Oryctolagus cuniculus: one gene and its partner. The protein of the gene in region 2 interacts with the protein of the main gene of each other region in a pairwise test. Links are inferred from orthologs where the notes say so. Each region holds a gene or a part of one and is shown on either strand. Other genes may lie near its edges.

Evidence for each region. The genes of interacting proteins can lie anywhere in the genome.
Region 1: the proteins of KXD1 (region 2) and CCDC185 interact in a two-hybrid assay, tested with the Homo sapiens proteins (2 studies listed by BioGRID and IntAct). The two-hybrid records come from large-scale screens. The link is inferred for Oryctolagus cuniculus from reciprocal best matches to the Homo sapiens genes KXD1 and CCDC185.

Annotation. Positions count from the first base shown.
Region 1 is NC_091444.1:37,691,432-37,698,388, forward strand, and holds CCDC185 (coiled-coil domain-containing protein 185), read left to right. Parts: upstream 1-2,911; 5' UTR 2,912-2,985; coding exon 2,986-4,842; 3' UTR 4,843-4,995; downstream 4,996-6,957.
Region 2 is NC_091447.1:65,704,920-65,712,024, forward strand, and holds KXD1 (kxDL motif-containing protein 1), read left to right. Parts: upstream 1-2,429; 5' UTR 2,430-2,559; intron 2,560-4,277; 5' UTR 4,278-4,301; coding exon 4,302-4,402; intron 4,403-5,125; coding exon 5,126-5,278; intron 5,279-5,912; coding exon 5,913-5,959; intron 5,960-6,446; coding exon 6,447-6,673; 3' UTR 6,674-7,001; downstream 7,002-7,105.

The DNA of each region.
Region 1 (6,957 bases), on a different chromosome or scaffold from region 2:
GCCGAAGGGGACTCAGAGGGTAGCTGAGCTGGCTGGGGGCAGGTCTGCTGGCTCTCAAGGTGGTAAGCTCGCTCACCGACACTGCTTCTCCATGACAGGAAGTGGCCTGAGAACTGGCCAGGGCCACACTTGTCTGCACAAAATATTTTATAAAGCTCTAATACAGCAATAAGATGCTCACCTATCAACACAACACAATGCATGCCCAGACCTTTCCTAACTTGAAAAAATTCCATGATCCCATTGAAAGTTTGGGTTATTGTCTTAAAAATATTAACTTCCTATTAAGAACTGTAATCATTAAAATAACTCCAAAAGGATATAAGTGGTAATACCAGAAATCAAGAGCAGAAGCAGCTTCTTATTCTCAGCTAGAGATGTGCCAATGGGTGCTGTAGAGACCCCATCCTGGCAGAGCGGCCCCTTGGGATGGCCCAGTCACTGTAGCTAAGGCTGCCAGCTACCAGGTGGCTTCAAGGACATGGTGATGGTGACCCACTGACAAACAGCTGATCGTAATTTTCTTAAAAGCCTATCTCAATCCAAAGTGCATTTCCCAAGAGGCGCCATGATATGGAAAGGGAAGGGAATCCAGAGTCAGAAGCCCAAAAATTGACCCAGGGATGTTTAGTGACGTCAGTTAGTATGGCCGCATCACAGAATGGTCCTAGGGAAAGTGTTATTGGTCCTACTGGCCCTGCCTAGCCCGGCACTGCTGTCAGAGATGTGAGTGATCAGTAAATACTGATTCCTTCTCTAAGGAGCAGTCATGCTGGAAGAATGCTGTCCAGAGCTTTCTTCATTCCCATCTTAGTTCACTCGGAGCTGCTGTAACAAAATGCCACAACTGGGCGATGTATAAACAAGCATGAGAAAGCAGGCTGGGAAGGTCAGGGCCCAGGCACGGCAGGTGTGGTGTCCATCAGAGCCCCCTTGCTGGCACACACACAGCAAATTTCTCACTGTCATAGCATGGCAAAAGGAATGAGGGTGCTCTCCAGGGTCCCTTTAAAAAGGGCATTAATCCCATGGATGAGTATTTTACAAACTTTTTTATTTATTTGAAAGGGAGGCAGAGACAAATAGAGATCTTCCACCTATTGATTCATCCCCTAAATGCCCACAACAGCCAAGGATGGGCCAGGCCAAAGCCAGGAGCCCAGACCACAAACCAGATCTCCCACACAGGTGGCAGGGACCCAGGTTTCTACCTTCCAGGGTGAGCGTGAGCAGACAGCTGGATCAGAGGCAGAGCTGGGACTTGAGCCCAGGCACTCTGATATGGGATTCCAGCGTCCCAAGCAGGGTTTTGACCACTGTGCCATCCGCTGTCCCAGGGCCCCACCTCTTAACAGCTTGATGTCAGTGATCAGTCTTCAACACATGAAGCGTGGAGGGGAGTAGGCATCACCATTCAGAACATAGAAGCCACAGAGAAGGAAAGTGACTTAGCCAGGATCCAGTGTGGACACGACAGAGCCTGCCAGTCGCCCCTCTTTAGCACGCCATCGTTAACCTCAAGTTATTTTTTTTAGGATTATGTTAATTCTATTTGTCTTTTCTTAAGCTTAGAGTCTATAGAAATTTGTGGAAATCCATATAGTTAAGTCTTCAGACTTTGAATCTAAGCCTAACTGGACGGCTCCATCAGCCCTCAGCAGCCTTGGAGAGCCACCCAACCCTCCCACTCTACCCTTCCAAAACTGGAGGGTCAGGAAGCTACTTACCCCACATCACACAGGTAGCAGAGGAGGTTCAAACACCTGTGCTTCACCGAGTCCAGCGCTCTTCCAGCGAACCCTGGGTGCCATGGAAAGGAAAAAAGAGTCTGAGAAAAAGCCTGAGAAATGAATGTGATTTCCTCGTGGCGCTGGATGTGGGTGAGTGTCTCACACAGACAAGCATTCTATGTGCACACACATAGAAGGTATGCAGGGTGACAGATTCACTCAGAAGGTGAGAAAGTGAACACACAGGTGTGAGCATGGGCTGCCCCACAGAGAAACTCCCAGCGCGAGTGGGCAGTGGGCTGGAGGACCGTGGGAAGAGAGGACACCTGTGCAGCACCTCTAGCTGGGGGGGCTCCCCCCCAGGTGGCCTCTTTTGTGAGGTAGGAAGGGGGCCTCTGCAGGTGAGAAGCCATCTGGGAACGCTATGGGACCTTCACACACCCCACGTGGAGCTTAATCTCCATATCTTCATGCCGGTCCCGGTCCCGTCCATTAGATCCTGGGACAGGAGGTGGTTTGATTGACAAGTAGGAGGACATGGGGGCTTCCAACTCACCCTGGTTACCGCATCGGTGCTCACTGAGGCTACTTCAGAATGAGCACACGGCGTTTATATTTGTACAAAAGCAGTCATCGCTATACAAGGGGGAAAATTCGCCTTTTTCCTGCTCTCATGTTTAAGAAAGTCAACACTGAAGCGTAGTTTGCGCTGGCGCCTGACTTAAAACGGTGGTGCGTGTATTAATTAACGTGATTTCTCGGCGGCTTCATCCGAGTGCCTTGTAGCTCTGCGCGAGGAAGGGACAGCGACTCAGGGGAGGCCTCCACTCCCACCCCCTACCCCGGCCCTTTGACCTCCCCCGCCCCCACCGCGCTCTCCTCTGAGGGTGGCCCTTTCACCCAGGCTCTCTTAACGACTACTTTAGAGCGTGCAAACGCGCATGCAGCTTCCCGCCTGAAGCTCCGTGGTAGTGGTGGTGCCATTGTGCACCCTCTGGTTTCCTACAAATGCCACCCTTGGTTTTCTACAAATTCCTCTGCCCCTTGAATTCTGCGCGGCGCTGGCCAGGTCCAGGGCGGGTGGCGCGCTGCCTGAGCCGAGGGCTGCGGGGACCTGGTGGTGCCAGGCGCATTGTGAAGTGGCGGGAGCGTCACAGGCGACCTGGTCCCCGGGAGCGGAGGGCGGGGCCGGTGCCGCAGCGACCCTGGGAGCCCCGGGACCCTGGCACAGACGCACGGCGCGCCCGGAGGGAGCATGGCGGGCTTCAGCAACTTCACCTCGCCGCCCTATCGCGACCTCTGGGAGCCGCGGCCACCCCGCGGAGGACGCGCGTCCCCGGCGAGGTTGGGCGGGCCGGGACCCGGGGCCGAGCCGGCCCTGGACTCCTGGGCCAAGACTGCGGGCGCCGAGAGGGAGGCGGCGGCCCCCTGGCTGCACCGGAGCTCCTCACCATCAGCGCGGACTCGCGGGCGCGCGTACTGTGCCTCACCAAGGGAAAGCCGCAGCCTCACCGACGTGGCGCCGAGGCCGCTCGACCGCGCCAGGATGCACCCGCCCCGCAGCCGGCGCCTAGAAGAGGCCTGGAGCGAGACCCGGAGCAAGTCCAGCGCGGCCTGGCCACAGCCATCCCCCCTGCAGCCCCAACAGTCGCAGCCCTTCCCGCGCTACACCCCGGCCCAGGGGGACTCGCCACCGCCGTACCCCGAGGGCGCTTACACTCTCGCGAGCGTGGCACCGAGTGGAGACCAGTGGGCAGCAGGGGTCTGCGGCCACGAGGGTCTCTGGTCCTCTTCCCCAGTTCCCACGGAGAAGTCTTTTGCGCCCTCCCAGGAGTTCGGGACGCACTCGGCCTGTGTGCGCCCTCAAAAGAGGGACAGTAGCGAGCGGGTGGAATCGGCGGGTAGTCCGGGCTCGCAGCCCTCGGCGTCCAGCAGAGACACGCAGAACCAGCACAGCCAGGCGCTCACCAGCACCCTGCAGGAGGCGGTGATGTCCTCGCGGGACCAGAAGATCGTGGCCCTGGTGCTGACCCGACTCAAGAAGGCGCAGAGGATGCGGGAGCTGCAACAGCAGGCGGCAGTCGCGTGGGAGGAGCTGAAGCTCTCGGACCAGAAGGTCCAGGTGACCCTGGAGCGGGAGCGCCAGCTGCTGCTGCAGCGGAGCCAGGAGCAGTGGCAGGAGAAGGAGCCGCGCAAGACTCGCCCGGGCCGCGAGCCCCACGGCCGGCGGCGCAGCAGCCCCGGGAAGAACGCGCCCCCGGCGGAGAGCCGCTGGAGGGCGCCGCCCGAGGACCAGGAGAACCAGCGCCAGGAGAAACCGGACGGCGCGCGCGCCCTGGCCGAGCAGCGCAAGCAGAGCCAGGTGCAGCGCCTGCGGGAGCAGGAGAGGCAGGCGCAGCGGCTGCGGGAGCAGAGCGGCCTGCAGCTGCAGCGGAGGCTGGAGGAGGCCTCCCACAAGAGGCACCTGCACGCCGCCGAGGGCCAGAAGAAGGTCCAGCAGACCAACTTGAGCTCCCTCGTCAATTACCAGGCTCGCAAAGTGCTCCTGGACTGCCAGGTCAAGGCCGAGGAGCTCCTCCGGAAGCTGTCGCTGGAGCAGAGCTGCCAGCGGTCTCAAGAGGTCCAGCAGTGTCTGATTAAGGAGCGGTACCGGGAGCTGAGGGAGAAGGCCCGGAAGGAGGCAGAGCAGTTGCAGCAGGTCAGGTGGCGCGCGGGAGAGGCCGAGGAGCAGACGAAGGCGCGCAAGAGGGTGCTGGTGGAGCTGGCCGACCAGAAGATCCGGCAGGCCAGGAGCCACGCGCACAGGACCGCCAGGGACAAGGCGCAGCACCTCCGCGAGCTCAACGCCCTGCGGGAGAAGAACCACCTGGTCCTGAAGCTGAGAGCCGAGAAGGAGGAGAAGTCCCACGTCGAGGGCATCAAGGAGGCCATTAAGAAGAAGGAGCAGCGGATGGAGCAGATATCCCGAGGGAAACAGCTCGCCTCCCAGGACTTCCCGAAGGGCTCTGGGGCCCCCAGGGGGAGCGACTCGAGAGAGCTCCAGGACAGCCGCTTCGATCGGTTGGCACCAGAGGCGCAGCTGCGCGTCGGGTCGCAGAGGGGGCGCTACTGAGCACAATCCGAGGACCATCCGCTTGCAGCCCCAGCAGCCAGAAAGACACGTGACCATGCGGCTCATTTTATAATCTGATTATAACTGAGCATTGATTTTTTTAAAAGTACATAAAATAGCTGCAATTTCCTCTCATGAGCTAGTTTATTGATTCACTTAGATAGTGTAGCGGGTTGGGGAGCGAAATCGGCGCGTTTTTAAGAAAAGTAGTTGGCTTTGCAAATTTGAATTTGCATAGAAAATCTTCACTGAGCTCTCCAGCGCTCTTGGAAGCACACGGTAGACACAGAGAAGAATCTGCCGTCTGGGAGGCAGTTCTGTGTCCTGTTCTGGTCTTTTCCTATCCTAGAGGGTTGCAAGAAATTTCCAAGAAAACAAGATAGGGCTGTGGTGGGAGGATTTGGGATTCCCTCTTGGTAGTTCACAAAGCCACTGTAAAATTTTAGAACTCTGAAAAGGCCTGCAGTTAAAACAAAACAAAACAACAACAAAAAAAAAACTTACTCGTTTAACCTAGTGTTTGTTGCAAAACATGGGACATGGAACTGATGTTCTGTGAACCATGCTTGGAAAGGTGGCTCCACAGATCTCCGCAGATTGTAAACTCCTTTGGCTGTGCCTCCTTGGATAGACAGCAAGTGTGGACGATTCCATCAGTGCCACTGGCGTCCATTGGCTTGGAGTTCTGTTCTTTTGATCAATCTGTTCAGTCTTATGCAACAACATTCCATTAGAATCTTCCTCTTCCCCTCTCTTGTGCCTCTGAAGAAGGCATGTGACGTCATTCTGCCCGTGTTGTGCCTAAGTAACCTAACCTGGCTGGGAAGGAAGAACGAAACGTGACTCAGCAGCACGGTGTTTTAAAAACCAGGAACGCACAAACGGAAATTAAGCCATCATATCTTCTATCTTAGAGTCCTATGGAAAATCTCTGTGCTCTCTTTAAAAAGCCCCAGATGTAACGTGTGTGTGTGTGTGTTTGTGTGTGTGAGAGAGAGAGAGAGAGAGAGAGAGAGAGTGAATACGCCCCACTGGCAGATCTTTGTTCCACCTGCAACTGTGAAGCTGCATTAGGGGTAGGTAGCCTGACTCGGGGTTCCGTGCCAGGTCGGTGTGAGGTCCATTTTCTCAGCCCTTATGATGGAACCAGGCCCTCTTCCCCGTTCTGTTCTCTCCTCCTACCTGGGACCCCTCTACCTGCTAGCCCTACGGACTCCTATTGGAGGGCCCTCACTCCTTTGCTCAAAAATGTTCAAGGATACCTCTTGCTCAAAAAACGTAAGGGCTCACATATCTCACCTCCATTCCCAGCCTTGCTCTCTCCTTGACCAAGTTAGTGCTCTGTTCTAGCCAAATGCAATGTGCAACCCCGGGTATTCTAGGGTAATGCTTACGCTGTTTAGCCCAGCCCTTGGTATGACTCTAGGTGCTCTTTCTCAATATACCTGTGTGGGATTCAAGAAGTTAGCTCTCTGAACCTGAGCATCCTCTTCTGTAAAATACAAAGGCACATTCTAGGGATGATTAAAGAAAACAATCCGTGCTAGGAGTTTGGCATGTTGCCCAGCGCTTAATGGAGACCCTGTAATCGCATTCTGTGGCTTTTACTGTTACCAGTACTGAGCCTGTGTCTGTGCCAGGCCCGAGCTCCCCTATGTGGACACCTTTTCACTGGCTGTCTCCTTGCAGCATAGCCAACTCTGGCTTCTCTGAGCCCATTCCCATTCTGCCTTTTCCTGGCCACCCACCCTGACGTCCCTCTCCTCTGAGAAGCCGCACAGCCTGGTGAGCACTCGCCAGTTGCTGCTTCGTTGTGGATGTCCATTTTGCAGCCCACAACGTGGCTTCCTGAGTAGACTGCATCCTGCCTGAGGCCAGGATCATGATGTGAGCCTTTTTTACTCATGCCTCAGATGGTGGGCAAAGGACAGTGGGAATCAAAGCCACTGAGCAGCACGTTTTGACCCCACATCTGCATACTGGGCCTTTTACCCGAATGGTCTTTGCTCCAAGGACCACAGAACATCATTCTTATATCCAACCCTTTATACATATTACCCATAGAAGTAATTACACATCACTTCTCAGCCTTTGGGCTAAAATCAAGTATAGAAG
Region 2 (7,105 bases):
CTTCCTGGGCCTCACACAGAGTCCGAGGGTCAGGTCCCCCCGGGAGGGAACTGGCCGCCGTCCTGTGCTCCCCTAATCTCGAGCGTGGACTCTGCACGCCGGTCTCGCCTTTGGCTTGTACTTGGTCACTTACTTGAAAGGCAGAGAGAGGGAGAGAGAGAGAGAGAGAGAGGGAGGGAGGAAGACGGAGAGGGAGAGAGATTCAGCCCCAGACGCCCACAGTGGCTGGGGCTTAAACCAAGAGCTGGGTGCTCAGGTGAGGCTCCCGCGTGTGCTGGGCGGCCGGGGGGACCCAGTCACCCTGCATCCTCACTGCCACCCCTGGGGTCTGCGCAGGCAGGGCCGGGGCCAGGAATCAGACCCAGGAGCTCCCCGGTGGGCGTGGGCATCGTGGGCACCGGCCTTGATGCCGGCCCGTCCCTGCCTTTTACCGCCAGTATTTGATCTATTTACAGTTGATGTAATTTTGGACACATTTGGATATAAACCTTCACCACTCTGTGTTCCTGTTTCCTAAGATTTAGTTATTTGAAAGGCAGAGTGAGAGAGGGATCGATCGATCTTCCAATCACTGGTTCACTTGACAGACGGCCAGAGCTGAGCCAGGCCAAAGCCAGGAGCCAGGAGCTCCATCCGGGTCTCCCACACGGGTGCAGGGGCCCAAGGACCTGGGCCGTCCTCCACTGCTTTCCCAGGCCACAGCAGAGCTGGATGGGAAGTGGAGCAGCCGGGACTCGAACCCGTGCCTACATGGGATGCTGGCACCACGTTGGCCTTCTTTAGGGACGAATGGGGGTATCTGGTACGACTCCCGAGAGCTTCCTGTATGGCCAGGGAAACGGAGGCATGGCGTAGCTTGTTCAAGGTCGCGGCCATGGAGGGCAACGTGGGCCAGGTCCCCTCCCTGGCCAGGGTGGCCAGTGGCTGAGCCCACCCGGGGACACGCGTGGAGCAAACGCAACCAAAACAGGGCGGAGGAGGGGGCTGCGAGTGCCCTCCCATGGGTCTCTCCTGCTGGACGGGGCGGCCCTGCGCTCACCACCCTCTCCCGTAAACACACAGGACACCAGGACATTTCGTCTCCAGTCCTCGGGGCCCCCAAGTCCCTCTGTCCCTACCCGTCTGGGGCTCCCAGAAACGTGCCCCGGCCTCTGGCAGGGCCCCCTGCGGCAGCCTGCACACGGCCATGGATCGAGCAGCTTCCCCCAGCAGGGCCCCTCTCTCAGCTCTTGGCCGCCGCGGGCTCACCGAGCCCCCCCCCCCTTACAACGGTCAAGCCCACACCGTGTGGTTTCCCATCATCGTTTCTTACAGCCCCAAGTCACGTCCACTGCCTGCAAAACTCCTACTCCAACCTCAAAACCCCAGCTAGATGGGGTTTGCCTCCCCGCAACCTCCCTTGCTCCCAAAACGAGCGCTCACAACGGCTCAGGTTCCTGCGCACGGAGGGTCCTTCCTATTCTTTACAAACACAGAAGCCCCGCGAGGCTGGGGGCGTCTGCCTCTGACTCTATCTCCTTTTTCCTTCCAGGCCTAAGCAGGACCTAAGTGGTCCCTGGGGTCCCAGAACACGGGCCACACCTGGCGGGAGGGAAAGTCTTTAAAAACTGTCAAACTCCGTAAGAATCCTGGTCCCCGGGGCTTTTCAGCAGAGGCGGCAGTAACAACGTAGCCAAGACGCCCGCTGGGAGCCTGGATCCCAGATCTGAGAGCCGGGGTCTGCGACCCAGCTTCTTCCCACCGGTGCGCACGAGCCAGGAGCTCCATCCGGGTCTCCCACGCAGGTGCAGGGGCCCAGCACCTGAGCCATCCTCCGCTGCTTTCCCAGGCCATAGCAGGGAGCTGGACCGGAAGTGGAGCAGCCGGGACTCGAACCGGGGCCCATAGGGAATGCCAGCGCTGCAGGAGGCGGCTTTACCCGCTATGCCACAGCGCCGGCCCCCCAAAAATTCTAAAAATTATTTTAAAAAATCCTTGTTGGGGGGCCGCGTTGTGGCGCCCGCACCCCAGGCGGCGGCGCTGGCTTCAGTCTCTGCAGCTCGGGACCGGTCCAGCCCCGGGCTGAGGGCCTGGGGGCAGCATGCCGGGCCCTGCACCTGCGCGGGAGATCCGGATGGAGCTCCCGGCTGCGGCCTGGCCCAGTGTCCATCTGGGGAGTGACCAGCGGATGGAAAACCTCTCTCTCTCTGCCTCTGAAGTACATAAAAAAAATCTTAGGAAAAAGTTCTTAAATGCTAAGATCATTCAAAGCGACGGGAGCCTGGGAGCTCTCACGGACTGGGGGAGACTGCGGACATCAGCCCTGGACATACCTTCCGACCTAACCCCTTCCGGCGGCTCAGCCGCGCGGACTGCGCAGGCGCACGAGAGCCCGTTTGATTGGACGTGGGCTGTGACGCAGGGCGAGCGAGCCCGCCTCTTCCTGCCGAGCCCCCACCACGCACGCGCGCACGCACGTCGGCCCCAGAGTGCGCCGCCGCCGCGAGCGCCCGTGCGTGGTGACGTCGCGGCGGCGCGGACGCCATCCCGGAAGCGCGAGCGAGGCTGCCAGATGTGCAGGTGCCGCCGCCGCCTCCGGGGCTGAGCTTGGGGCGGGGCGGGGAGCGGGACGCCGGGGCGGCGGGGAGCCGGGCCGGGTCGGGCGCCGTCCCCGGGCTGCCCGGGGTGGGGCGCGCCGTGCGGGGCGCGGGCGTTGGGGCCACCAGCGTTCCGACGGTGCGGTGTGACCTGGAGTTGGGCGTTCACCTGCCGGTGCCTCAGTTTCCCCGCTTCGTGTGGGCGGAGCCTGCGGGTGTAGACCCAAGCCCCGCCCCACCCGGGCTGTCTTTACCGGGGCGCGGAGTGGGGAGTTCAGCCGACGGTGTGGGCGACCCTCGCAGGGGTGGCTGGGAATTCAGTGCGACGTTGTGCAGTTAGCTCCGCCTCTTGCAGTCACGTGGGATGCCCTCAACAGGCTGGACCCCGTGGGGAAACACCTGCTCCAAGCTCCGCCCACAATCCACCTTGCCTTCACCGCCCCCCATTCCCATTTCCTGGATGAGAAAACTGATCCCTCCCTCCCCCACTTGAAACCGGGGCCCTTGCTGCGTGAGTTCCCTTTGGGATGTGCAGCCCGGAAGGCTTCCTGAGAGAGGCAGCCAGCGACAGGCCCGGGGTTGGAGCCTCTGCCCTGATCCCCGGACAGCGCGTGGGTGGCCCTGCTCTGCAGACAGTCCTAGCGCGTGTCCAGGGGCGGCGAGCCACCTGCCGGGGTCAGGGCGCGAGCAGTCCTGGCTCCCGTGATGTTTTGGATAAAAAGAATTCCTGGCTAACAGTGGCAAATAAGGCGATTTCATGGGGAAAAAATTGTTTTTATCAGCTGTCGTAGGAAGCAGCTGTCCCCCCGCCGTGGGCGGGGCCCGTCAGACGCACGTGCACCTGGGTGCTGCCCAGGGCCGCGGCCGCTCGGACCCTGGCCTGGGCTCGGGGGCTGTGTGACCGCCGAGCGCAGTGAGCGTGTGCCACATACAGTAGGCGCTCAGTAGGTGGATGCTGTGGGCTCCGAGTCTCGGCCAGCTGTAAATGGGGCTGTCTGTCATCTCGCGCGTGGGCCTGGCGGCCAAGCTATGCCAAGGTTCCAGATTTTTCCTGACCCTCCCACCCCCGCCCGCCGCTGCTGGGCCTCGCATGGTCTGGGAGGCCCAGCCCACTGGGGTGGGGTCCTTCGTGTGCCCGTGAGAGCGGGCACTGTCCAGGACGTCTGGGTCGTGGGGCTCCCAGTGCCTGGGACTTGCTAACAACAGGCGAACCCCGTCAGAGCCGGGTCTGCAGGGGCCGGCCCAGAGACCCCGGCGGGAGGGAGAAGGCGGCGGCGGCTTCCCTCCCCAAATGGCCACAATGGTCAGGGCTGGGCCAGGAGCCAGGAGCTCCATCCGGGTCTCCCACGCAGGTGCAGGGCCTAAGCACTTGGGTCATCTTCCGCCGCTTTCCCAGGCCACAGAGAGAGCTGGATTGGAAGTGGAGCAGCCGGGACTCGAACTGGCACCCACATGGGATGCGGTTGTCACACGTGGAGCCCTAACCCCTTGCTCCACGCCGCAGACCCCGCCCCCCCGTGGGGGCGACCCGATGAGGCAGCCTTGCCGCACGTGTTCTGTGGGGGCAGCAGGTGCAGAGGCGGGGGTGGGGGCTGGGAGGCAGCAGCAGCAGCTCCGTGCAGGCGCCCGGGACCCCGGGAAGCCGTACCGATCCAGAGCGCGCCGGAGCCCCCTGCAGTCTGTGTTTCCCGCCTGCTCCAGGCCGCGGAGGAGGAGGAGGAGGACATGGACGCCCCCGACTCGGCCTCCGGGGTCTTCTGCAGCCGCGTCCTGAGCATGGTGAACGCCGAGGACGTCAACGCCATCATCCTGGCCCAGAAGAACATGTGAGCCCCGGCTGGGCGGGGCGGGGCGGGGCGGGGCGGGAGCCCACTCCGGCCGCGCTCCTGATGCAAACGCAGGGAGCTGGATCTGCCTGCTGGCTCCCCTGGCCTCCTCCCTGGCCGGGCTCCTGGGCGGGGAGGCGGGGGGACGGCGGGACCAGAGGCACAGAGCTGTGTGGCGAGCCCCCCGGGGTCTCTTGGGGAGGGCGGCGGGACATACCTGCCTCCCACAGGCGGGCTCGGAGCCTGCCACAGCCTCACCCCGATTCCAGCTGCCTTGCTGGGGAGAGGAGGACCGGTGCATCCTGGGAGTGATTTATTTTCGTTCATTTGAAAGGCAGAGTGACAGCCAGAGGGGGAGAGGAGGTCTTCCCAGGGTGGTGGAGACCCATGCACGTGGGCCATCTTCCCCTGCCTTCCCAGGCCACAGCGGAGAGCTGGATGGGAAGTGGAGCAGCTGGGACTCGACCCGGCGCCCACACGGGATGCTGGCACTGCAGGCGGCCGCTTTACCCGCCACGCCACAGCGCTGGCTGCAGACTTGACCCTGGGGAAGCTCCCAGACGGGGCGTAGACAAAACAGGACACAGACCCCCACGGCGCCACATGCCAGGGCTGGGCCAGAGCACCCTGAAGCTGCCAGGGCCCCAGGGGCAGGCAGCGCCGTCACGGGACACCCTTACTGGGGCGCTGAGGACTGAATAGGAGCCTTCTCTCTGGCGCCAGGCTGGACCGCTTCGAGAAGACCAACGAGATGCTGCTCAACTTTAACCAGCTGTCCAGCGGCCGCCTGCAGCAGATGGGCGAGCGCTTCCTGCAGCACACGCGCGCGCTGGGCGAGATGAAGCGCGACCTGGACAGCATCTTCCGCCGCATCAGGTGGGCGCCCAGCCCTGCGCCAGCATCCTGGCTTTTTTTATTTATTTATTAATTAATTGGAAAGGCAGAGTTAGAGAGAGAGAGGTCTTCCCTCCGCTGGGTCACTCCCCACATGGCCGCCATGACCAGGGCTGGGCCAGGCTGGAGCTGGGAGCCAGCAGCTCCATCCGGGTCTCCCACGCGGGTGCAGGGGCCCCAGGGCTTGGCCACTGTCCACTGCTTTCCCAGGCCACAGCGGGGAGCTGGACCGGAAGAGGAGCTCCCTGACTGCGTGTGAGCTTGGCTGCCTGGGCAGCAGGGGGCGTGGCGGGCAGCAGACCCCTTTGCCACTCTGTACACAGACGGGCACAGGCTGTCAAGGCCCCGGGGGGCCGGCGCTGTGGCCTTCAGGCGAAGCCAGGGCCCGCAACGCCGGCATCCTGGCATCCCGTCCGGGCGTAGGTTCGAGTCCCGGCTGCTGCACGTCCGATCCAGCTCCCTGCCCACGCACCTGGGGTGGCCGCGAGAGCCGGGCCCTGCCACCGGGCGAGCGGAGCCGTCGCGGCCACTGGGGGCGTTCAGGGACCGGGAGGCCCGGGAGGCCGCCGGCCCCGCCCCCGGCAGCCACGCGCTCTCCCTCCTGTCCCGCCCGCAGGACGCTGAAAGGGAAGCTGGCGCGGCAGCACCCCGAGGCCTTCAGCCGTGAGTGTCCCCGGGCGGGCCGGGCCGGGGCGGGGCGGGGCGGTGGGCAAGGGGCCTCCCAGCGGCACCGCTGCCCCAAGGCGGAGCCTCACCGGGTCCCCGCGACCCCCAGGCAGGGCCGCGCTGCGAGTCTCCCCATTTCCCAGCCGGGACAACGGAGGCCCAGGGGCCCGGCCTGAGCTCACCGCTGCGGGCTCGCCCTCGGCTGCCACCCCACGTGGCTGCCAGCCCACCGCGAGCCCCGAGCGAGCCCCGGGTACCTCTGCAGAATGGGCCCGTGACAGGCACAGAGCAGGGAGCGGAGTCGGGCAGGGGCGGTTCCCGGCCCAGGGCCCAGGGGCCAGCATGAGGACAGAGCCAGGCGCGCCCCCAGGGCCCGTGCCCTCGCCCCGTCACAGCCTGGGCCTCCCCCCTCCCCCGGAAGGTGGGCGGGGCCGTGGCCGCGGTGGGCGGGCCGTCGGGGCCCCACCTCCGCCTCCTCTCGCAGACATCCCCGAGGCCTCGCTCCTGGAGGACGAGGAGGAGGACCCCATCCCGCCCAGCACCACGACCACCATCGCCACCTCGGAGCAGAGCTCCGGCTCCTACGACACCAGCCCCGACACCGTCTCGCCCTCCCTCAGCCCCGGCTTCGAGGACCTGGCCCACGCCCGGCCCGGCTCCCCCGCCCTCAACGGCCACAGCCAGTCCGAGGAGGAGCCGCAGGGCCAGTAGCCCCGCGCCGCGGGCGGGCGGCCCGGGCTGGCGGGACAGCCCCGCCCCGGGGCCGCAGGACCCCCGCAGCACGTCCGCGGACCCCTGCGGCAAGCCCCAGAGGCCACAGCCCGATGCCCGGGCCAGGACCCCCACGGCGGGGGAGCAGCTCCCACCCCACCCCACCCCTTTAACAGAGCTGGACGTTCCTCCCGTGGGCGGGGGGCAGCAGGATGGAGCCCCGGCCTGGCCACCCCGGCCGGCAGAGCTGAACGGAATATTTTTGTACCCGATGTTCACACGCCGTTGCGAAGTTATCAATAAAGAGAGGCCGCGACTGCAAAGGGAACATTGCGTCTGGCTCCCGCGGGTTTTCCATCTGGGCCTGGCAGGTGCACCAGAGCCCCCGGCGTGGGGGGGGGGGGCTGGAGGCGCACACGCACTGGCTGCTCT